Linked DNA regions of Tamandua tetradactyla. The protein of the gene in region 1 purifies or fractionates together with the protein of each later gene. This does not show direct contact. Links are inferred from orthologs where the notes say so. Each region holds a gene or a part of one and is shown on either strand. Other genes may lie near its edges.

Region 1 (6,836 bases):
CCAGAGGATGTTAAATATGCCCTCCCTAACAGTTGTTGTTGGTTTTGCATGGGCAGGCACCACGAATCAAACCTGGGTCTCCTGCATGGCGGGTGAGAACTCTGCCTGCTGAGCCACCATGGCCTGCCCTCCCTATCAGTTTTTGATCACCTCTTTACTTTTTAACACAAGATGTTCCAGGAAACTGTGCATTCCCTAACTCAATCTCAGAACCAGCCGTTTCTTCAGTTGGGGTTCTTTCTTAACATTTTGAAGCCAAAGAGATCTGAGTTTGAAACTGGTTTCTTTAATTTTTTCTTTTAGCAACTTTAATGTGATATAATTCATATACCGTACAATTCATCTATTTTTATAGTATACAATTTAAAAGTTTTTTAGTATAGTCACAAAGTTTTGTAACCATCACCAACAATCTAATTTTTTAATATTTTTAACCCCTCTATAAGAAACTTCACACCCACTAGCATAGCTCCCCATTTCCTCCCAAACTAGGTAAGCATTAATCTGCTTTCAGTCTCTATGGACTTGCCTATTCTGTTCACTTCATATAAATGGAATTACACATGTGGCCTTTTGTGACTAACTTCTTTCCCTTAACACAGTGTTGAAACTGGTTTCTGCCATTTAATTTCTGCAAAACCTTAGGCAAGTTACTTAATACCAGTCCTCAGAGGTCATTATTATAATCAAATAACATATTCAATAGATAATTATTGACCTTAGTTGAGCGAGACATACACCAATCTACTTGCTTGATCTTTTGCACTCATTTTTCAACAAATACTTATCAAAGGCATTATTGTAGGCACTGAGTCTACACCAGTGAACAAAAGATATCCAAATCTTCCTGTTCTCATGGAGCTTACATTCTACTCACAGGAAACAGGCAATAAACAAAATAAATATGTGAAATATATACTGTTTTTACTAGACGGTAATGACTTCTAGGTAGAAAAATAAAACAGACCTTTTAGGAAGGGTTTGTATAAGGTGATCAAGGAAGGTGTCCCTGAGGTGACATTTAATTAAAGACCTTAAAGCAGTCTTGCTGACAAGATTTTAGTTCTTTAAACTAGGAAAGAAATATGAAAATTAGCCTCCTTTTAAATGCCCTCTGAGATTATCAGGTTTTAGGAAAGTTTCCTTATATCTAATCTGTACTTTTACTATGAAGCTTAAACCTGTCAATTGTTTTCTCATCATAGGGTATTTCTCAGTGGCACTAGCATCATTGCAATAGCAGTGTAATGTAGCAGTTAGTGTAAAGTAGTAGAGCTTGACTGCCAGAGTTCACACTCTAGTTCTTCATTGCCAAGTTGCAGTAATCTTGGACAAGTAACTCAGTCTCTCTATGTCTCAGCTGCCCAATCTGCAAAATTCAGATAATAATATTGCCTACCTTGAAGTTTGTTACGAGAAATGAGTTATTTCACATAAAAATGCTTAGATAATGTGCTGGTTGAAAGGATATATGTTCCCTAGAAAAGCCATGTTTAATCAAAATCCCATTTCATAAAGTTAGAATAATCCCTGTTCAATACTGTATGTTTGAAGCTGTAATCAGAACATCTCCCTGGAGATGTGATTTAATCAAGAGTAGTTGTTAAGCTGAATTAGGTGATGACATGTCTCCACCCATTGGGTGGTCTTGATTGGTTTCTGAAGTCCTATAAAAGAGGAAACATTTTGAAGAATGAGAGCGATTCAGAGAGAGCAGAGAAGAACGACATAGCCCTGAGAATCAGAGTCTACCAGCCAGCAACTTTTGGAGATGAAGAAGGAAAATGTCTCCCAGGGAGCTTCATGAAACAGGAAGCAAGGAGAAAAAGCTAGCAGATGATGCTGTGTTTGCTATATGCCCTTCCAGATGATAAATGTACCCAGACCATGTTTGCCATGTGCCCTTCCACTTGAGAAAGAAACCATGACTTTCATCAGCCTTCTTGAATCTAGATATCTTTCCCTGGATGCCTTAGATTGGACATTTCTATGGACTTGTTTTAATTGGGACATTTTCTCAGCGTTAGAACTGTAAACTCTTAACTTATTAAATCCCCCTTTTTAAAAGCCATTCTGTTTCTGGTATATTGCATTCCGGAAGCTAGCAAACTAGAACAAGTCCATAGTTTTCAACTTTATTGAAACTAAGTTTTCAATAAATATTAGCTGTCCATATATGTACACATAAATATACATATTAGGGATGTATTATCTATTGCTGCGTAAAAACTTACCCCCGAATTTAGCAGCCTAAAATAACAAAAAAATTGTCTCAGTTTCTGGTCCAGGAATTTGAGAATAGCTTAGCTGAAGAGTCAAAATGTCATCTGGGATACAACCTACAACCTAAATAGATAGATGGATGGATGGATAGATATATAGATAGGTAAAGACAGAATGACATGACAAATGTGGAAAAATGTTAGAAGTTGGTAGATCTGGGTGTCTGGATGAGGGTATGTTGGAGTTCTCTGTATGGGTTTTGTATAATTTTTGCAACTGTCCTGTAAATTTGAATTTATTTCAAAGTAAAACAAAAAAAATTTTTAAGTTATTATGCAAAACATGGAAAGTCTGAAAAATTATCACGTCCAACAGGAGCCTAAGGAGACATGACAACTAAATGTAATGTGATCTCCTGAATGTCCTGGGATAGAAAAAAAGACATTAGATCAAAACCGATGAAAAGAGAATAAAGATTAGTAATGTATCCATATTGGTTCATTAATTGTGACAAAGGTATTATACCAGGGTCATATATTAATATTCGGGGAAACTGGGTGTGAGGGACTATCTTTGTGACTTCTTTGTAAATATGAAACTACTCTGAAATTAAAAACTCATTTTAAATATTTAAAAAAAAAAAAAAGGGTATCAGCTCAAGCTACTATCACCTGAAGCCTTAACTGAGGCTGGAAGCCCTGCTACAAAGACAGCTCACTCACATGTGTATAGGCAGGAAGCCTCAGTTCCTCACCACCAGGACTTCTCCATGGGACTGCCGGAGTGTTCTCATGGCATGGCAGATGGCTTCCCCCAGAGTGAGTCACCCAAGAGAGAACAAACAGAAGTTGTATGATCTTTTATGACCTACGCGTGAAGTCACATTCCATCATTTCTGCCACATTCTATTCCTTAGAAATAAGTAACTAAGTACAGTGTGTGCTCAAAGGAGGAGAATTAAGCTCCACCTCTCGACTGGAGGATTATCAAAGGATGTGTGAACATATTTTCAAATCACCACAAGGGGTCATTCTTTGTTTCTTTTAAGTGCCTCTGCTTTACAAGTTATAGTGAGAATCCTTGGGAAAACCGCTCCTTCTACCATTTGTTTAAACCATAGAAATGAAAGGTAATTTCCGTTTAACATTCATACTTAAGAAAAGGGAATGTGGACTAGATATCCTAGCTTGAGAAAATCATCAACTGTAATAAATCTGTTATAAATAAAATGCCTCCTGTATTTAAGAGTCTTATATAAGCCAGCTGAAAAATGACTCCTGAAGATTTCCCAAGGGCTGGATTAGGATGGATTTAGAATATTGACAAATATGTCAACATGTATCTAAATAGATCAGATGGCCCGGACATAATAAACTATGCTGAATTGTCCCACCTAGGGTGACATTCCTTCCAAACATTTAGACATGGATGTAGCCATGATAGAGTCTCAGTTCTCAAATACTTGAACTCTCTGAGTGTAACAATTTGGCTTCTTATTTTACTGTGGCTGTGGAAAAAATCCAGTATAAAATATAGAAATAAGCTGAATATGTTTTTGTTCACAGTTAAACAAACGAACAAAAACATGGAACATGTTAGAAACTTAGGTTTGTATCTCTATTGTGCAACAGCTCTGAGATGAAATCCTTGGCAGAACAAAACAGAGAGAAGTGATTCTTCCACCTCCCTTATTAGCAAATAAAGTAGCTTCCCAGTTAAGTTATCCCCAGTTCTCTTCACATTTTGTTTGGTTCCTTAAAAACCTGGGGCAGTATAACACCCAGCCCCTACCTTTTCACCACCCAGACTTGAGAAATCAAAGGGAGAAAAATAGGCCTTCCTCAGTACAATAAGTCAGGTCCATCCAGCTCACTAATGTGCCCCACCGAATCTGGCACCCCAGAGTTGCTCAGCTGGTGTTGCTGAATAAATCGTCTTTATATCACTTAGCACCCAGTCTCAGAGACTGAAAAAAGAACCTTTATTAGCTTCAAGTCCTTCAGCAAAACTTAAGTCAATGTTTCCAGGCATCAAAATTAATGTGTTTTTTTTTTTTGCTAGAATAACATATATGACTATATATATATATATATATATATATATATATATATGACAAGGGAGGAGGGAGGCTGAAAATGATAGATTGACAAGGGAGACCAAATATGGAGTGGATATTCATCATTCGGTTTCTATTGGAGTTCTGAACCCATGTTGCTATACTGTCTTTCCATCTCTGAGCACTCTAGTATTTTAGGTTGCTAAACCACAGGCTCATTTTTGTGTTCTGACAAACTGATTTGACATGTAAGCAGTAAAATACAGCACCAGAAACAACACACCTGGTGTACCCACTCACCTGTGCTCAGAGCTGTGTGTTTCTCTCCTGTATCTTGTCTGGGTGCTGTTCCAACTTTGTGCTTCTGTCCAGCACGACTACTATTTAAACAGTGTGGTTGAACAAATTTTATCCTAAAGCTTCTAGGGAGCAGCTGGAGGGAAACAGTAAGAAGGACATCAGCTGTGTTCACCTTCATGATGTTGATCTAAATTGTGAATTAGTGTCCTTTCAAACACATAATGCCACATAGTGTGCCACACTGGAAAAAGTAAAAACTTACCAAACTGGAAAGTTCATGTATAATGTTGAAGGTAGAAGACTGTGTTAAGGAAAAAAAAAAAAAGCCAGAGGGAAAGCTACCTTGATAAAACCTCATCCTTTCTTCAAAATATTGCTGAAAATGTATCATTTAATTCTCTCCCTTCTAATTTCAAATTCATGATCTTAAAAAATGTTCAGATCTCTTCTAGTTTGCTAGCTACCAGAATGCAATATACCAGAAACAGAATGGCTTTTAAAAAGGGGAATTTAATAAGTTGCTAGTTTACAGTTCTAAGGCTGTGAAAATGTTCCAATTAAAACAAGTCTATAGAAATGTCCAATCGAAGGCATCCAGGGAAAGACGTCTTGGTTCAAGAAGGCCGATGAAGTTCACAGTTTCTCTCTCAAGTGAAAGGGCACATGGCGAACACAGTCAGAGTTTCTCTCTCATCTGGAAGGGCACATGGTGAACACGGTGTCATCTGCTAGCTTATTCTCCTGGCTCTACCAAAAAGGGACTCTCCAAAGTGTTTCCTCTTTAAAAGGATTCCAGCAAGCAACTCCACCATCAGTGGGTGGAGACACACCTCCATGGAAATCATCTAATCAAAAATTACCACCCACAATTGGGTGGGTCACATCTTCATGGAAACAATCAAAATGCCCCCACCCAGCAATATTGAATGAGGATCAAAGGGCATGGCTTTTCTGGGGTCCACCACAGATTCAGACCAGCACAAGATCCATTACAATAAAGCTAGAATTATGTTAACACAGTGATGCGATATGACACTGAGAACACGGAGTTGTGTCCTAAATCAGGATTGGATTAAGGTAGTAAAATGTGTTGAGGCAAGTCTTGGAGAAAACAACCGTAAATTGACAGCCCTAAAGTGCACAAACACTACATTCTCTTAGAAAAAGGAGGTAGCTATCTTTTTGAAGTTTTATAACATTGTTCTCCTTAATGTTTATTTATTAGAAACTAGAGCTATTACAATCAAAACAAGCATTGGAGGGGTTTTTGGTGTTTGATCAACCTGAGTTGGGTGGGCCTAGCTAATATCTAAAGGTAAATGTGGATATATTTTTATATTACAAAACAAGGAAAATCAGAACTGACTGCCATTTCCTGCTCTTCTTCCCCCACTTTTAAAAAATGTTTATTCGTACTGATTTATATGTAGAACGGAATGATCAAAATAAGGATGTTTGCATTTCCTTTGTGTTTTTTGGTATTTGAAAAAAAAAATGTTTATTCAAAAGTTTGAATGGGGAAGTGGGAATAGAGGTTTCATTCCAAAAGTGTTCCTTAATATGAGGCTCGAGTGTGGGTTTGGAGAGGGACCTAAATAATTTTCTGTGAAAAACAAAATAATAGACAGGATCTGCTTGCTCAGAGCATTGTTCACTAATGTATTAATAAAGCACTTCTCCTCATTAATAAACCATTTTCACTTAGGGCTAATATATCAAATGAAATTTAAGATTTTATTTGGCTTCTTTTGCTCAAAGTTAAGCTTATTCATGTTGTTTGCTGTATTTAGTCATGTTTTGCTTATTCTCATTCCTGTATAGCATTCCAATACTTGAATATATCACATTTTAAAAATCCATTAGTGCCATTTATTAAATTACTCTCTCTTAGCCCCAAACCCACCCTTGTATTCTCAGCTTTGTAATGCTGGGGCTATGACTTGGCTAACTATTGGGTTCCCATTAGTTCTACAAGCTGGGCACTAGAAGAAAACTGAGAGGCTGAAAAGGACGGAAGGGACTTGCTCCTTCCTCTTTGCTTGCTTTTTTGTCAACATTATCTCAATTATGGCCATTTACCTTGGCAAGTTGGTTCCAGCCTCAAATTTTATTGTACAACCCAAATCAGTCTCATTGTGTCCCGTTAGAGGAACCATCAACGCAGGTCAGCACCTCCTCCTCAAAGATCTGAGTCTCAGCTTCATCCTTTAAACCCATAAGATCTAATAACCCCAACCTCTTTACTTGGTTCTCCAAC
Region 2 (7,215 bases), about 83 Mb from region 1:
AGGTATAAAATCAGGCAAATGTGGGGCGACAGGGCAGACAATTAAAAAAATCCCCTCTGAACTTGCGTTACAGCGCCTCAGTTCAGCAGACATGTGATTATGTGCAGCAGAACTAAATAACAAAAAATTCTTCACTTCTAACATCCTCATAAAGAAATTTTTTGAATATTGTGAAAAGAGAAGTCTATGAACACTGATTTCTAGGTATCTACTACCTAGCTGTGCCAAGGGTACTGAGCACGGACAACTGATTGATTCATATATTATCCTTAAGAATAAAACTATTTGCTTTTGCCAAAACCCTTTGAAAACTAGAGGCCTCAGAACTTTGGGTTTTGATTTTTATACGTTTGTATTTTAAGAGTGAAACAAAAACATCTAGTGAAATAATGTGGTTCTGAAAAACATGATTGATAATCCTGGGTTTCAAACATTCTACGATTTCAGTAAAGGAAGGACTATGTATTTTATCCTCAAAATAAAATTCTCAAAATGCTTTTCCCTTTTTAATGTTCTTTTAAAACCTCATTAATGTTCTTTGAAAAATAATATGCCTTTAGTATCTCTTTATAGAACTGCTAACCTCTCTCTTAAAAAGAAACAGTTTCTCAAGTTTAAAGCCACCACCTGGGCTTGGAGACGAGTGAGTTCAGACCACCTGGCCAGGTCCTGTGGCCTCACTCTTCCAGACACCACCTCTTCCACATCAGGAAGTGCAGCCAGTTAATCTTGATCCCAGATGGTGACCAATGTGGCCGTGCACCCTCTCCTCTTCCTGGACCCATCTACCTCTTTCCTGCTCTCCCTTACACTTTTCTGTCGGTCATCTCACAGACTCTGCTGCCAGGTCCCAATGGTGATGCTGTTCTTCAGGGCTCCTGCCTAGGCCCCTCTATTCTCATTCTTATATACTAGCCATAGGAAATCTCATTCACACCTTGTTTCGGTTACTTGTTATCTCTCCTGGATCCAGGCCCATCCATGCAGTTCCTTCCCTGACAGCTCCAACTAGATGTTTCAAGTGTCCCCAACACATACAAAACTGAACTAATGATTTCCGACCCTCCCCCACAACCCAGGTCCTTCTCTGGCTTTCCTTCTTCACTGGATAGTTTCACCCTATATACTAAAATGCCCAAGCCGGAGCCTGGAATTATCGTTGATTCCTTCCTTCCTCCTCAGTCATCAAATCCTGTTGCTTAAGTGTGTAATATGGCCTCTTCCACAGGCTCCCATCACTCATTTGCTGCATGGCTCTCCAATCCCTCTTGAAAGTGTGGAACACATTACTCTCTTCCCCTCACCCTCATTCCCCTAACAACTTACTGTAATTTTGATTCTTCCAGTCCCACCCCATCACTCAGTCACCAATAACCATCAAATGGTGAGTTTTGGGTGACTATCAAACTAGATCTCTCTGTTGCATTGGACATTGCTAATCACATCTCCCTGAAACTCACTATGCCCTAAAGCTGTGGGGACATTCGACATTGCTAATCACATCTCCATGAAACTCACTATGCCCTAAAGCTGTGGGGACATTCGACATTGCTAATCACATCTCCATGAAACTCACTATGCCCTAAAGCTGTGAGAACAGCCTTCTAAATTCCTTGGTTCTTCTCTGTCGCCTTAAGGGATTATGGATTTAATTCACTCCTTCTCTTTATGTGCATTCCCAGAACACATTTAACTATTTTAACTCCCACACGATATCACCACAAAACATTCCAGTCCAGCCTGATCTTTTCCCTTGAGCTTTAGATGCGTCCCACAAGCACCTCAAAGTCAGCCCCGCCCACAACGAACTTACCATCTTTCCTTCTCCCCCTACTACATTCCTCATCATGAGCGTTCCCCCTTTTGTATCCTTCTCACTGGGTGCCATCACCCCTGAACTGATCTATCGGGCTGCAGATCTGACCCCTCTCCCTTAGTTTCCACAAACTGTCAATCACCAAGGACTGTTAATTTTCCTTCCTAAGGAGAAAGCAATGTCAAGGCATTTTCTGAGCAAAGTCAGTCTAATATGGCAGACAAGTGTGTAAATGAAGTCTGGTTGTGGGCATTTTCTTTACTTGAATAACCTAATTCTGTAGGTCCAAAGTTTTGACATAAATCAATTTAAAACACACATATGCAGTATATGTCAGCAACTACTTTTATCTACGACATACAAATTTAGTTGCCATCATCGGATAAACAAGGGGTTGCCCGCTCAATACTTCTGTTTCTTTCTAAAGCTCTTCAATCTTTACCTTTACTTTTCAGTAAGGAAAAAAAAACAAGGCCTTGCTCTGACAGAGTTTACATTGTTCTTGAGAAGACATACAATAATGAGTAAATGAACACGCAAATATATACTTATGCCCTCAGCCAGCGCTCATCTCCCGCCACTGCCCTTCTACAACAAATATCCCCGAGAAGAAGCCAGCCAGGCCCGGCTAGGAATACAGTGAGGACTGCGTCGCTCGCTTCTCCAAGGAGGTCTTTCTTCAGCCCCCGCCCCACTCAGCTTCAACTCTAATAGGCCTGGGTCCCTACGTGTCGACGCCGACGGTTCTGCGACCCTGGTGGGAGGACGTGACGAGCGCTGGGTCGTCCCTGCCCGCTCTTGCTTACCCTTCTGGCATCGAGCGAGAACGCGCTTACCAGCATTCGTCGAATAAACTCAATGAATTCAATTTAACACTCATTCAGGAAACCCACGCCCAGTACGGATCTAACAGCGTCTCGCCTGAGCCTCTGGGAAGCAAGCAGTCGAGAAGCGATTCCGTCGGAGGGGCGGTCTTGGAGCGCCTGGCATCTCTCTCCCCATCCACCCCCTGCCCGCCTCCGCGTCCTATTCCCTCTGGCCTGTCACAAAGAACGGGAAAGGACGCGGGCACCTTAGCCTCCGACTCAATCTAGATGTCGCCGTCCCGGCGCGAAGTTTCCACATCACGACGCGTCGGCGGCGGCCATTTTACTAAAAGCGGTCGATACCTTTTGACTCTCGCGCCAGCCCATAGAGCGAGGGCGCCGCACGAGGAGTTCTGCGCAAGAACGGAAGCTGGGGCTCCGCAATTCCGGGCGGCCGCCGCGTCCGGCCCCATCGCGAGAGCGCTTCATTGGTTGCCGCCTCTTGATCTCGCGAGAGGTGGGGGGGCGACCGCCGGTGGTCTACCCTCTTGCTCACGCCCCCACCCCCGCCTCCGCCGCGGCCTCCGCCTACCTCTCCTGAGGCGCCGCTGCCGCTGCCGCCGCCCCCGCCCCCGCGACGCCGCCCCTTCCTCGGCTCGGGCCCAGGCCCCCTGGAGCGGCCGCGGAGCCGCCGCCGAGACCGTGCAGCGCGGGAGGCGGGATCCGCACGGTAAGATGGCCGCGCGGGCCCGGGCAGCTTGATCCCGGGCCGGGAGACGGGCCGGACGGCGGCCTCGCGCCCGGGTGCCTGGGGTGCGTCCCGCGGACCCCGGGACGCCTGGACCGAGCTCACCCCGCGTGGGTCTGGGAGCCGGGCCCACGCAGGGGTCTGGATTTTGGTGCGCGCTCTCGGGAGTGGAGGGCAGTCGTCTTCTGGGTCTGCACGTCAGCTGGCCGTTTCTTCTCGGCCAGAATGTGCTCCAATCTCGACTGTGCTTCGGAGCCGTAATTTAGGCTTTATTCTTAAAGGGAGAACATTTTCGAACGAAGGCTCTATCCTGCGGTCTAACCATTCGCCTTACGAAAATAATAATTAATGGTTGTCCAGAACATATTGAATCTGTCTCCCCGAAGAGAAAGGTTTATACAACAAAACTGTTTTAAAGCAGACACGGCGTAAAATGCCGCCTGGACAGCAAATGTTTGTTGTCCTCGGTGTTTAAGGAATTTATTTTACTGGTTAAGAATTTGTGTTTATTTGTGTTGATTATTTAACTGCTGGAGGTTGAGCTTGCTGAGTTTTTCCCGCGGAAAACAGAACAGGGCAGTTCTTCAGAGTCGTCGTTTTTAAAAAATCGCACTTACCACCTGTGTGTGATACTAGTGTGACTGCCCGTTGCCAAGTGAAAACTGAGAAAAGGTGCCTTTTTTAAATATTGGGCTTCTAATATTGGTTCTAACTCTACCTTTAATTCTATCTGCGAATAAAAATGAGCTCTTACTGAGTTATACAGTTGACCTGGAGGTACGGGGGATGTTTTGTGGTGTCACCGTATTCTCTCGGTTTTACTTCTCACTTGCTGCTCCTTCACATTGTTTTCTTTTGCTGGTGTCTGCTCTGCTTGGAGACACACATTCGCCAAGTCCCCGGGGGGCTTTTGTCTTGTTTCCTCTATCTACTCTTTCTCCTGTGTGATCTTTACAAACTCTAACCTTTATTTCTCTGAGAATGTTTCCCTAATTAATGTTTCCAGCGCTGAGCTCAGGACCTGTGATCCAGGTACCTGCTTTACTTCACCTACATGCCTAATGGTCACCTCAGACTTGTTCCTCTCCTAGTCCTTCCTCCTCATTTGTGGCCCTACCTTCCAGGGTCTCAAACTGGAAACCTCCAAGTCCTTCTCCATTCTTCCCTTTGTCGTATCTCTCCACTCTCAGTCCATCAGCAAGTCCCATTGCCTCAGGGTCCAAAGAATCTTGACTCTAGTCATATCTTTCCTTCTCTTCTGCCAGCATTCTAGTCTAGACAACTATCCTCTCTTGCTTGGATGTCTCCCTTCTGGTCTTCCTGCCCAGTTCTAGGCACCCTATTATGTTCAGTCCGTCGTTGACCAGGAAACCAGAACCGTCTTCTAACTTTTTTGTTTGCTGAAACAATTTGCTATGTGTAATGTCTATAATGTATGTATAAATCACATCTCTGTGGCCTCTGCCATCCCAGTCATCCTCCCACAGGTAACCACCCTTCTGAGATTTATATTGCTTGCTCATACTTAAAAAAAAAGTTTTGCCACATATATATTTGTTCCTAAAGGACATATTAGTTAGTCTTTTTGATTGTTACAAAACTATCATGCCATACTTAGACCTCTGTAACTGACTTTTTTCATTTAGCATGGTTTCTGCAAGTGATGTGTGATTGTTAGTTCATTGTTTTAACTACTCTGTTCAGTTCTGTTGTGTGGATACACAAACTGTAGTTCCTTCTCAGCAATCCTGAAGTCCAAAAGCTCTGAAACCAGAAGTTTTTGGTTTTCTTTTTAACCCATTTGGTGGTAAAACATGACCTGGTTAATAGGCTTTATTCTACCTTCTTTGAATACTTGTACACGTCACTGAAGAAATAATGTTTGATTATAGGGTGCTGCCCCAAATTCTTATGTAATACGCATATGGTAAATTGTGCCATATAAGCTTCCTACCATCTGGAAAAGGCTGATTTCTGAAACAAATCTGTCCCAAGGGTTTAAGACATGGTATTGTATTCTCCCTGTCAGTTCCTTTGTCCAGACTACTGTGGGTGGTTTCCATATTTTGCCTTTTTGAACATTGCTTATGTGAAGAGGCTTGTATCTGTCCCTACTGCAGGTTTGTGAGTTTTTCTAGGGTATAAATGTGGTATAGGTAGAACTACCATGTTATAAGGAATCCACATGTTCATTTTTACCTAAAAATGCCAAGTTGTTTTACACAGTACCAAATAACAGAGATTGAGAGAACTCCAGGCCTTTTCTAATACTTGGTATTGTCCGATTTTTTTGTTGATCTAGTGGGTATACAATTGTTCTCCCTTCATTTTAGAACCTAAGTCATAACATGTAATAATTTAGTTTATAACTCTCTAGTGGCTCCATTTGTACTTAGAGAGACTCTAACCTCCTCTCTCAGACTATGAGGTCTTACTTGATCTGACCTCAGCTGATCTCTCAACTTCCTAGGTCCAAGATCTCTTGGCTCTTCCCACATTCATCCCACCTCCTCAACCCCCTGACCTTCCTCCTGCTGCACAGACACACTTCTGGGTCTTGGGCCCTTTGCATGAGCTGTTTTCCAAAGTTAGAGTATCTTTCCATTCTCTCCCTTTTACTTCTTATGACACGACTCTTGTTATTATTTTCTGAAATAATCACGATTGTTATAGAATTTGTAACTAGTTCTTTAAGATAATATGTTTTTTTCCTGTAGAAATACATCAGAATGAGTTATACAGAAAAACCCGATGAAATCACAAAAGATGAATGGATGGAAAAACTCAATAACTTACATATTCAGCGAGCAGACATGAATCGTCTCATCATGAACTATCTTGTTACAGGTAAGGGTTTATACTAAGGATGTTATTCCTTGAACATAATTTTCCCTCTTCTATACTCTGGTATAGCTTTACCACTGAAGTTCAGTGGTGAGGTTGTGTACAAAAGATATTATAAAAACATAGCAATAACTTCATTTGCACTTTATTGTGTTAAAGATATCCTCTTCAGGACATCAAGTAAGTTTTCTTGGTATCTGAGACCTAAAGAAAAACTTGTTGCTTGACAATTTTTCAGTTATATAATCAAGATCATTAAAAATATTCCGAAGTACATTTAAGTCCCAAATAATTTATCTCTTATGACCAGTCTGGTAAATTATGCTAACCTTTTTTTAGAAGATGTATCCAACTCAAAAAGAGGAAAGGTAGGAGGGCAAAAGTGTATGGAAGGAAACAAAAGTGATCTGTCATCCTAACACTCAGCCCTCACTGGTATTTGGGAGAAAAAAGGGTAATAATATATGTGCTAAGAAAATCCGTGTTTTCAAAAGACATAAAATGAAAAGTAAGTCTCTCTCCTCTTAGTCCTCAGATGGTCTCTGTGAATTAGTACTATTAAAAAAAACTTTTTTTTGTAAGATGATCAGAAAATGTAGACTCATAGCTGTACATGTGTGGAGAGAGGGAGGGAGAGAAAGAGAGAGAAACAGAAGGGGAGAAAGAGAGGGAGGATTGAGTGGAGAGGTGTACACACACTGGCTTGGGTGCTGAGAAGCTTTGTAGAATCACACAGAGGTGGCGGTCACCAGTTTACTGCAGGTAAAATTGGCTTTGGAGGTACAACATGCTTTCTGCTGGCTTATCCAGTTTGTCTAGAATCATTCAGAACCACACCCTCAGTCTTGGGCACCTGTCCCTGTAATTTTAGCCTTCGAGGAGTCACACTAACAACACCGAGCTTTATGCATTCATTCTAAGCCTCTTTGGCTAATATGTTAGGATATTTTTTTGGATGGGGTAGAAAGGAATTAACATGCTTTTTTCATTTGCTGTATTTC
Region 3 (7,648 bases), on another chromosome or scaffold:
TCTGAAAGTTAAGAAAAAGTAATTTAAAAAGTTTCTAGGTTCACCTATTTTTTTAAATACAAAACCCCTAGAAATCTACACTGAGGCTTTTGGTTTACCTGTCTATTTCTATCAAGGGAGAAAAATTATTAAAAGCCAAATCAAAAGTTCAAAGAAAAATATTAACTTTTGAACATCACACTAAAAACTATCACAACAATAAAGCCACACCTGTGCATGAATCACAATCACCACCAACATCATGAAACACAAAGTTGGTCATGGGCACACTGAGTAAAAAGGGTGACTTACTTACAGTCTTTGGTTAGGTTTAAACTGTTTCTGAAATGCCAGGAAGTTTAAAAAGAAAAATAAATACATTTAACTTTCACCCAATTATCAAAAATCCTGGCATTAAAAAAATAATAATGGTGTTTAAAAGTCACATAAAACAAATGACGATTAATTAGACTAACAGCAAATGGGTTTATGTTTTCAATCTAAGGGCCAAAGGGCATTTTGCCCTAAGAATATGCCATTTACCTAGCCATTTTTACCATTTGTGTAAATTTACACAATTGTGAAAAATCAAATAGTTTCAACACTTTCAATATTTATTTAACTTCAATTTTAGTTAAAAATAAAACAATTATGCTTCTATACCTGACAAAAGTCCTGAATCAAAAAATACAAAATATCAGTAGGTAATTAGATGTTAAGGAACATTTGGTTTTCCAAAATAATAAATCATGTAATAATAATAATTAACATTTACTGACTGCTAAGTAGGATGTATCTCGCTGTTCTACATTTTTAAACTCATTTAACCCTAACAAACCTCGAAGACCAGCATTCTCCTGATGTGAGAAATGAAGAAAATGAGAGGAGAAATTTGACCAAAGGTCACACGACTTTCAAAGGTGAAGTTGGTATTCAAAACCAGGGCTGACTCTTAGCCACTGTCTCTCTAGAATAATAACAGAGCATATCTGAAGTATCTTCATGTCAGTCTCATTACCTACAGGATGCATGTAAAAGCAGATGGAGTGGGGGACCCAGTGAAATGGCAAATAATCCAAAATTCGTTTTTAGACTGATAATGCAATACATGTTGTTTGAGTGGAAACTGCATATTCCTCTAATAACAAAATGCTTTCTTTCTTCCCGAATCACTTAATTTCACACTATGCCCAAGTATTTATACGCAATTACCAGGATCTAAAAATCAGAGAACGCAACACTTAAACAAACAAAAAAAAATAGGATGGGGTCAGTCTATACGGAAATAACCATGACAGTGTCAAAGAGAAAGATACCAGGATGTTAACTGCAATTACTTTGAACTCATGAAAATCTTGAACAACTAAATACCCAACAATATATCCCTACAACACAATTCTATGCAGTGATGAAAAATGTTGCAAAATACTGAGACTGTGATAAAGGAGAAACTTGTTCACAATTCACTAGATGAAAAACCCACAATTCAAGATGATGGGACTTCTCAAAACAAATATATCTTTATATATATGGAAAGGAAAAAATGAAAGAACAGAAATAACTATGCGATTTTCACTTTCTCATTTGTTTTCTCAATTTTCTACAATAAAACACATTCCAATAGAAAAACTGACTTTTTTAAAACTACAAAAACGACCAATTAAACTAAGGAAACACAAGGACTTATTGTATGCTACTATAAAAAGTTATTGAAATTCTATTTCCTTAGGTCCTCTTCTCTCCTCATCCTAAGAATACCACTTAAGACGCAGTGTTATGAATAGACACATTTTCACTTTAAAAACAATATAATTCTGCAAAAATAAAAACAGCCTCAATAATCCTAAATTCATCTGGGCACTTAATTTACAGTTACGTTTTTGGCCGATTTTCAAATTCACATACTGCTCTTGTTCTCAACCTTAGAAATATAATTAGCAAAAATACACTCAGAACAACTATTCAAGATCTTTCCACAACTATACTTTGAAAAAATAAGTATTTTATACAAAGCGAAAGTATTAAAAGACAACCACTGAACATGACCCACGCTGTTTTCCTCTCTGAATAAACAACCACTTCTCTGGAAATCGCTTACCCTTCAAATTTCGTGAAACCAAGTGCAATTAAAGTCTAAACGGCAATTGCAAAGCACCGCGTAGGTCAAATATGTCAACAAGAATGGAGTAGTAAGAAAAACTAAATCTACACACAAAACCTGCCTGCAATTCGCTAAAATTTAAGAAATTACTGGTATTTCAAAGTCCCCTAACCACCCTCGTCCCGGATATTTTGACAAAATAGCTAACGAACTAATCTGAGCTATTTTAATGTAGATCTCTATCCCCTGTTGCCTGGTGGAAGCCACAGGACACTAAGGTCCGTATAACCTAACTAGTGCATCCCGGCCCCTAAACGGTCCGAAGCTTGAAATAATAACGTGGATTTAAGATAAACCAAAAAACGGCCGTTAGAGACCCTTTCCGGTCCTAGACACCGGCTGGCGAAATCGGCGGAGAGGGGGAGGGGAAACGCGGCAGCGGAGGAGGAGCTGAGAAAAAAACTAGGCCCGTCCCTAGTGGACAACCCGGCCTCCAAGTTGCTAAAGGGTAAGGGATGACCAACCCAAAGAGAAGAGCGAACATCTTAACAGGGCTCTCGACGAAGGAGTCTAAGGATACCTAAGAAAGGGTGAAGTTCCCCGCGGGAAAAGGAGAGACGGGATGGGGGGGCGGCGGAAAATGGATCCCAGGCCCAGGCGGGGCCGTAGCGGCGCCTGAGCAGACGAACGACGGCGTCTCTGAAGAAAGGTGCCGTGAAAAGCTACATCGGGCCCTAGCGGTCCCTTTGGAACAGAAAAGTCTGGGAAGCGTTTACCTGGACAGCTCCTGTTGAATTTCCCGGAATTTACTGACCACGAAAGACCTAAAGATCTGCTCGATGTTGGTCGCCATGGCGTCCGCTCCGTTCTCTCAACTCCTCCTCGCTAGTCCTCCAGGCTCCCAGCATGCCTCGGGAAGCGGCGCAGCGGCCAGTTCCGTCTCTCGCCCCTCTGATTGGCTCCTGTGGGAGCGTCCAGACGGGCGCGCTCCGACGCAGAGCCAATGAACGAGCACGGCTCCGCTCTCCTCCACTGTTTCTGAGCGGCTGGGGTAGAGCTGCTGACGTTTGCGCCGCGCACGATCGCGTCCGCCATGTTAGTGTCTGACGCAGGCGCCATTACAGGAGAAGCCTGTTTTGAGGCGAATGTGTCGGCTGAGGTTGTCAGTCCCATTATTCTTTAGTGGGCTTAATAGGCCTCGTGTAGCGACTGAACGCCCGAAATTTATGGCAGTGAAATGGAGGAACAAAAAGCAATACAGTGTTCTTGACAAAGGGCCTCCAAGCGTCACGGGGGCGCCAAGTTCAGTTCTGTCAGAAGGATACATCCGGGAAAGAACTACTCAGCCCCCACCCCCCTGAAGCATGATTAGAACGTGTTTTTACCCCGACTCTCTCTCGTTGCATGCTATAATCGGCCTCAATTTCTTAGCAATAGGGCAGAGGTCCTGAGCTACCTGTTTTTAGAGTCTGATACATTCCAGCCTCGTTAGGAGTCAGTGTGACGAGACTTCGCGGTAACTGGGCAGTCCAGACTCTCGATAGCAACATACAGTGAGCTACTCATTGGTTTAGCGTTCAGGAGGTTTCCCCTCCTCAGACCTCAGGAGGCACTCGGAGAGGAATGGAGACGTTACGTGGCACTCAATGTTACAGTATTACATGATAAGCCTGTGATGGCTTGGTGGCATTGGTCAGAGCTTAGGCCGCGCCCGAGGGAGGGGACCACACTTGATTACCTTGCACTGGGGACCCTGGGCCTGGCCGACCAAGAGGGGCGAGGCGGGGCGGGGGAGCGCGCGGGGCGGATCCTGCTCCGCCAACTTCCGCCACGGCGTGCGCCCGGGCTCAGCACGCCGGCGAGTGTGCGAGGCGGCAGCGCGGGACGTTTTTGTGTCGGTGCGTAAGCTCACTCCGTTTTTAGGTAAACTGCACTTGTGCTTTGATTTGGAAATTTACTATTAAGAAGTGAAGCTGTAGAAACTGGCTTGGCTGTAGACGTTTTCATCATTTTAAAACGCATTGTTAAAAAAATGCATTGGGTGGGTCTGGCCATGTGCTTTTCACTTATTACTATTAACAGAGGTTTACATTTGATCTATCACTTTTCCTACTTTCTGCGATGTGAGGGCTTTATCTTTTTGTGTCTTTATGCTTTTTTTAGGCCATAAGAGTAAGTTGATGTTTTTTGCCGTATTTCCCCGTTATGTACACTAGTGATTATTTACTCTACCTATGTAATTGGTTTCTTCTTTGTAATATTTGTCAGATCCTATGCAATAACTTCCTAGCTCTCTTACTCTTCTCTTCTAGTAAGTTTCTATTTTAGATATAAGGTGACTGAGACTCAAGAATCTTGCTTATTTAAGTCACTCACGTCTCCCAGGTAGGAAGGGGCAGAAGTTCAACCCAAATCGAGGTATATACCCTTGACTCTGGAATCAGGCTGTTTCAGTGACCAACTTTTTAGTAACTAGCAAAGTTTTCCTTCACTGCATCTCTCATTTAAACTAAATATGATATTTTATCTAGATTTAAATACATGTTTATTTCAGATGTCTTATTATATGTGGCAAGTGAAATGTCAATGTTTTCCATTAAACTAAAATTACTTTTCTCTCCTTCTGAAACTATAATATAGAATTTTTCTTCCTCAAATTTTCAGTGGTCACCATCTCAGTTGTTAGAGCATCTGAAGCAAAATTGCTTAAATTTCCTGAATGAGTCTAGAAATCGTGTTAAATGAAACAAGCCATACACTCAAAAAACAGACGTTGTATGGTTGCACTTACATGAAATATCTAGAATTTGCCAATTCATAAAGACAGGAAGTAGATTTGAGGTTACCAGGGGAATGTGGAGTTTCTGTTTTGGGTGACAACAAACTTCTGATAATGTATGATGGTTATGGTAGCATAAAATTTTAAGTGTAATTAGTGCCGCAGGTTCTACACTTAAAATTGGTTAAAATGGAAAATATTATGTTAACTATATTACCACAATAAAAATGTTTTTAAACTTTGCTTCAGTTGGTTTCCAGGCTTCAATCCTTAATTTGTGTGTCCTCTATAGATTACTTACCCTCACTGAACCTCGCAGTTCCTCATCTGTAGAATGAAGATGCTAATGGTTACCTCATATAAACCTTGTGAAATTGACGTGAGGTAATTCATGAAAAGCATTTATAATAGTGCCTGACACGTGGTAAATGCACACAAGAAAATATTAGTTTTTATAGTATCAACTTAGATTTTTCTGTAGATATATAATTTTAGCATATCATAGTAAGTTGATTTCAGTTTTCTGTTTTTCTGATATGAATTTGCCTTCTGCATAATTAAATGGCTTCAGAAAAAATACAGTGCCACAATTCTGTGTTGCTGAGTGCCAGAGATTATACTAATTTGATTATACATGTCATTTCAATTAAATCCTTATATAGCATTGTAAGGCAAGTTGTCGTAATTGCTGTCCTTTAAGATGTGAGGAAACAATTACAGATAGAGCTTAGCCAGTGTCACTCCCTGGAGTAGAGAAGGGAGCGTTCATGTCCATTCTGGGCAGATAACTGAAGTGAAAGGGGTTCAAATTTGATTTTTGCCTTCTCTGCCAATTTCCTAACATATAGCACTAATTTCTTAAATCATGGGTCAGCAAACTATGACTCAGGTGAGAAGTCCTGTCCACCAACCTTTTTGTACAGCCGTCAAGCTCAAAATGGTTTTTACATCTTTAAATGATTAGAAGAAAAGAATGTTGATTTTAATGACACATGAAATTCAAATTTCAGAGTCCATAAGTAAAGTTTTATTGAAACAGTCTTGATTATTCGTTTTTAATTTCTGATGGCTTCCCATTGCTTAGAGCCAGAATAGGTAAACTACAACCTCATTTTGGCTTGCCTGTTTATGTAGAATTAAGTTCTAGGGGAGCATAGCCATGCTTGTTCATTTACTTAAGGCTAAGACTACTTTTATGATACCATAGTAGAGTTGAGTAGTTGAACAAAGACCTTACAGCCCCTAAACCTGAAAATATTCACTACTGGCCCTTTGCAGAAAAAGTTTGCCTACTCCAGTCTTAAATATTTTTCTGTCAATGATAACTATTGGAAGATTTCGAGGGTTAAAAATGGTTTTTAAATTTTGTGTCTAAAATATCAACATTTGTTTTTCTAAACTGTGGCTTGATGATTATTAAATTTTCTAAAATTGAATCCCGAAGAAGTAAGATTGTTCTTAGGTAAGGAGGTAAAACCCCATTTCACTCCCTAACTTAAGTTCGTTAGGCCAGTCTATCTCATTTTTAAAATACTTCCTTTGCAGTTGTTAGTACTGTCATTTATCTCACCTCCCAATTTTTTATTCAAAAATGAATCTCTGGACTAAAATGTCATTTTTGTGAGTACAAACTACTACTTAACATCAGATTTAGAAATTTTATGATTTCTAAAGTGTGTGCATTCTGAATGTTAGCTCTGGTTTTCTTTCTGCAGTTTTCATTTGCCTTTTGAATTCCTGCTTTGCAGACAGCCATGTCAGCCCGTGTGCTGATAATTGGCAGTGGAGGAAGGGAACATACACTGGCCTGGAAACTTGCACAGTCTCACCACGTCAAGCAAGTGTTGGTCGCCCCAGGAAATGCAGGCACTTCGTGCTCTGGAAAGATTTCAAATACTGGTAACATGTTTTAAAGTGGGAAGTAACTGTTATTTGCTAACGATAAACTGATAACCATATCCAGGTTGCTGTTCAAGTTCTTCGTTTTGTCTGAATTGCTTTTCTAAACTCAGAATTTATGTGGTCATTTGAATACTTCCCTATAGTAGAAATGAGGTGTCCTATTCTAAATGCTACATTTCCTTATCTGAAATTATTTTAGGCCTATGCCTTATAAAATATATCCACTGAGAAATTAATAAGTGCCTAATATAGATTAAAAACATGTTGATGTATATTTCGATCACATCATTAATGCAGAGATGGACAGTGCTGTCAAATGTAAGTCCTGGCAATTGTAACTCCATAATAGATCTCAGCCTTTGTTTCTTCTGCTGGAAAAATGATCAGTTCATGTATTACCCTAAACTCTTGAGTAGCTTCCCTTAGCCCTTAGAATAAAACCCTAATTCCTTTGGTTCCATACAAAGCCTTTTGGGATCTGGCTTCGGCCTGCCTTTGTAGCCTGATCGTTTATGTCCTTTTTTTTTCTTTTCACTGTGCTCGATCCCTACTGTCAAGCCAATTTCCCCAACAGAGCTGCGTTGGACTGGCATCTGTTCCTACCCACTGGCATGGTTAATGCCTCATTATTCAAGTCGCAACTTAAATATTACCTTCTTAAGGAGGCCTTTCCTAAAGTTTCCAACTAAACAAGTCTCCACCCCATTTCATTGGTTTTCCTTCCTGAACCACTGTCTGTATTTATTTTTACTATTTGTTTTCTTACTTGTTTCCTATCTCCCATTTCCCCATGAGAATGTAAGCTGCATGAGGACAGAACTACCTCTCTTATTTTGCTTTGTGTCCACAGTGCCTAGTATCCTAATGGCATGTAATAGTTGTGACTA

The links.
Region 2: the proteins of SRPK2 (region 1) and DIDO1 purify together in Homo sapiens (affinity purification with mass spectrometry; 3 studies listed by BioGRID and IntAct, with this or other methods). This does not show direct contact. The link is inferred for Tamandua tetradactyla from reciprocal best matches to the Homo sapiens genes SRPK2 and DIDO1.
Region 3: the proteins of SRPK2 (region 1) and SON purify together in Homo sapiens (affinity purification with mass spectrometry; 4 studies listed by BioGRID and IntAct, with this or other methods). This does not show direct contact. The link is inferred for Tamandua tetradactyla from reciprocal best matches to the Homo sapiens genes SRPK2 and SON.

Annotation. Positions count from the first base shown.
Region 1 is NC_135327.1:143,768,634-143,775,469, forward strand, and holds the start of SRPK2 (SRSF protein kinase 2), read right to left. Parts: upstream 3,005-6,836; 5' UTR 2,946-3,004; intron 1-2,945. UniProt on the Homo sapiens protein: Serine/arginine-rich protein-specific kinase which specifically phosphorylates its substrates at serine residues located in regions rich in arginine/serine dipeptides, known as RS domains and is involved in the phosphorylation of SR splicing factors and the regulation of splicing.
Region 2 is NC_135327.1:60,503,323-60,510,537, forward strand, and holds the start of DIDO1 (death-inducer obliterator 1), read right to left. Parts: upstream 3,015-7,215; 5' UTR 2,889-3,014; intron 2,879-2,888; exon of another isoform or gene 2,653-2,878; intron 1-2,652. Other genes in the region: GID8 (glucose-induced degradation protein 8 homolog), read left to right, coding at 6,100-6,217. UniProt on the Homo sapiens protein: Putative transcription factor, weakly pro-apoptotic when overexpressed. Tumor suppressor. Required for early embryonic stem cell development.
Region 3 is NC_135336.1:93,913,184-93,920,831, reverse strand, and holds the start of SON (protein SON), read right to left. Parts: upstream 3,015-7,648; 5' UTR 2,934-3,014; coding exon 2,857-2,933; intron 1-2,856. UniProt on the Homo sapiens protein: RNA-binding protein that acts as a mRNA splicing cofactor by promoting efficient splicing of transcripts that possess weak splice sites.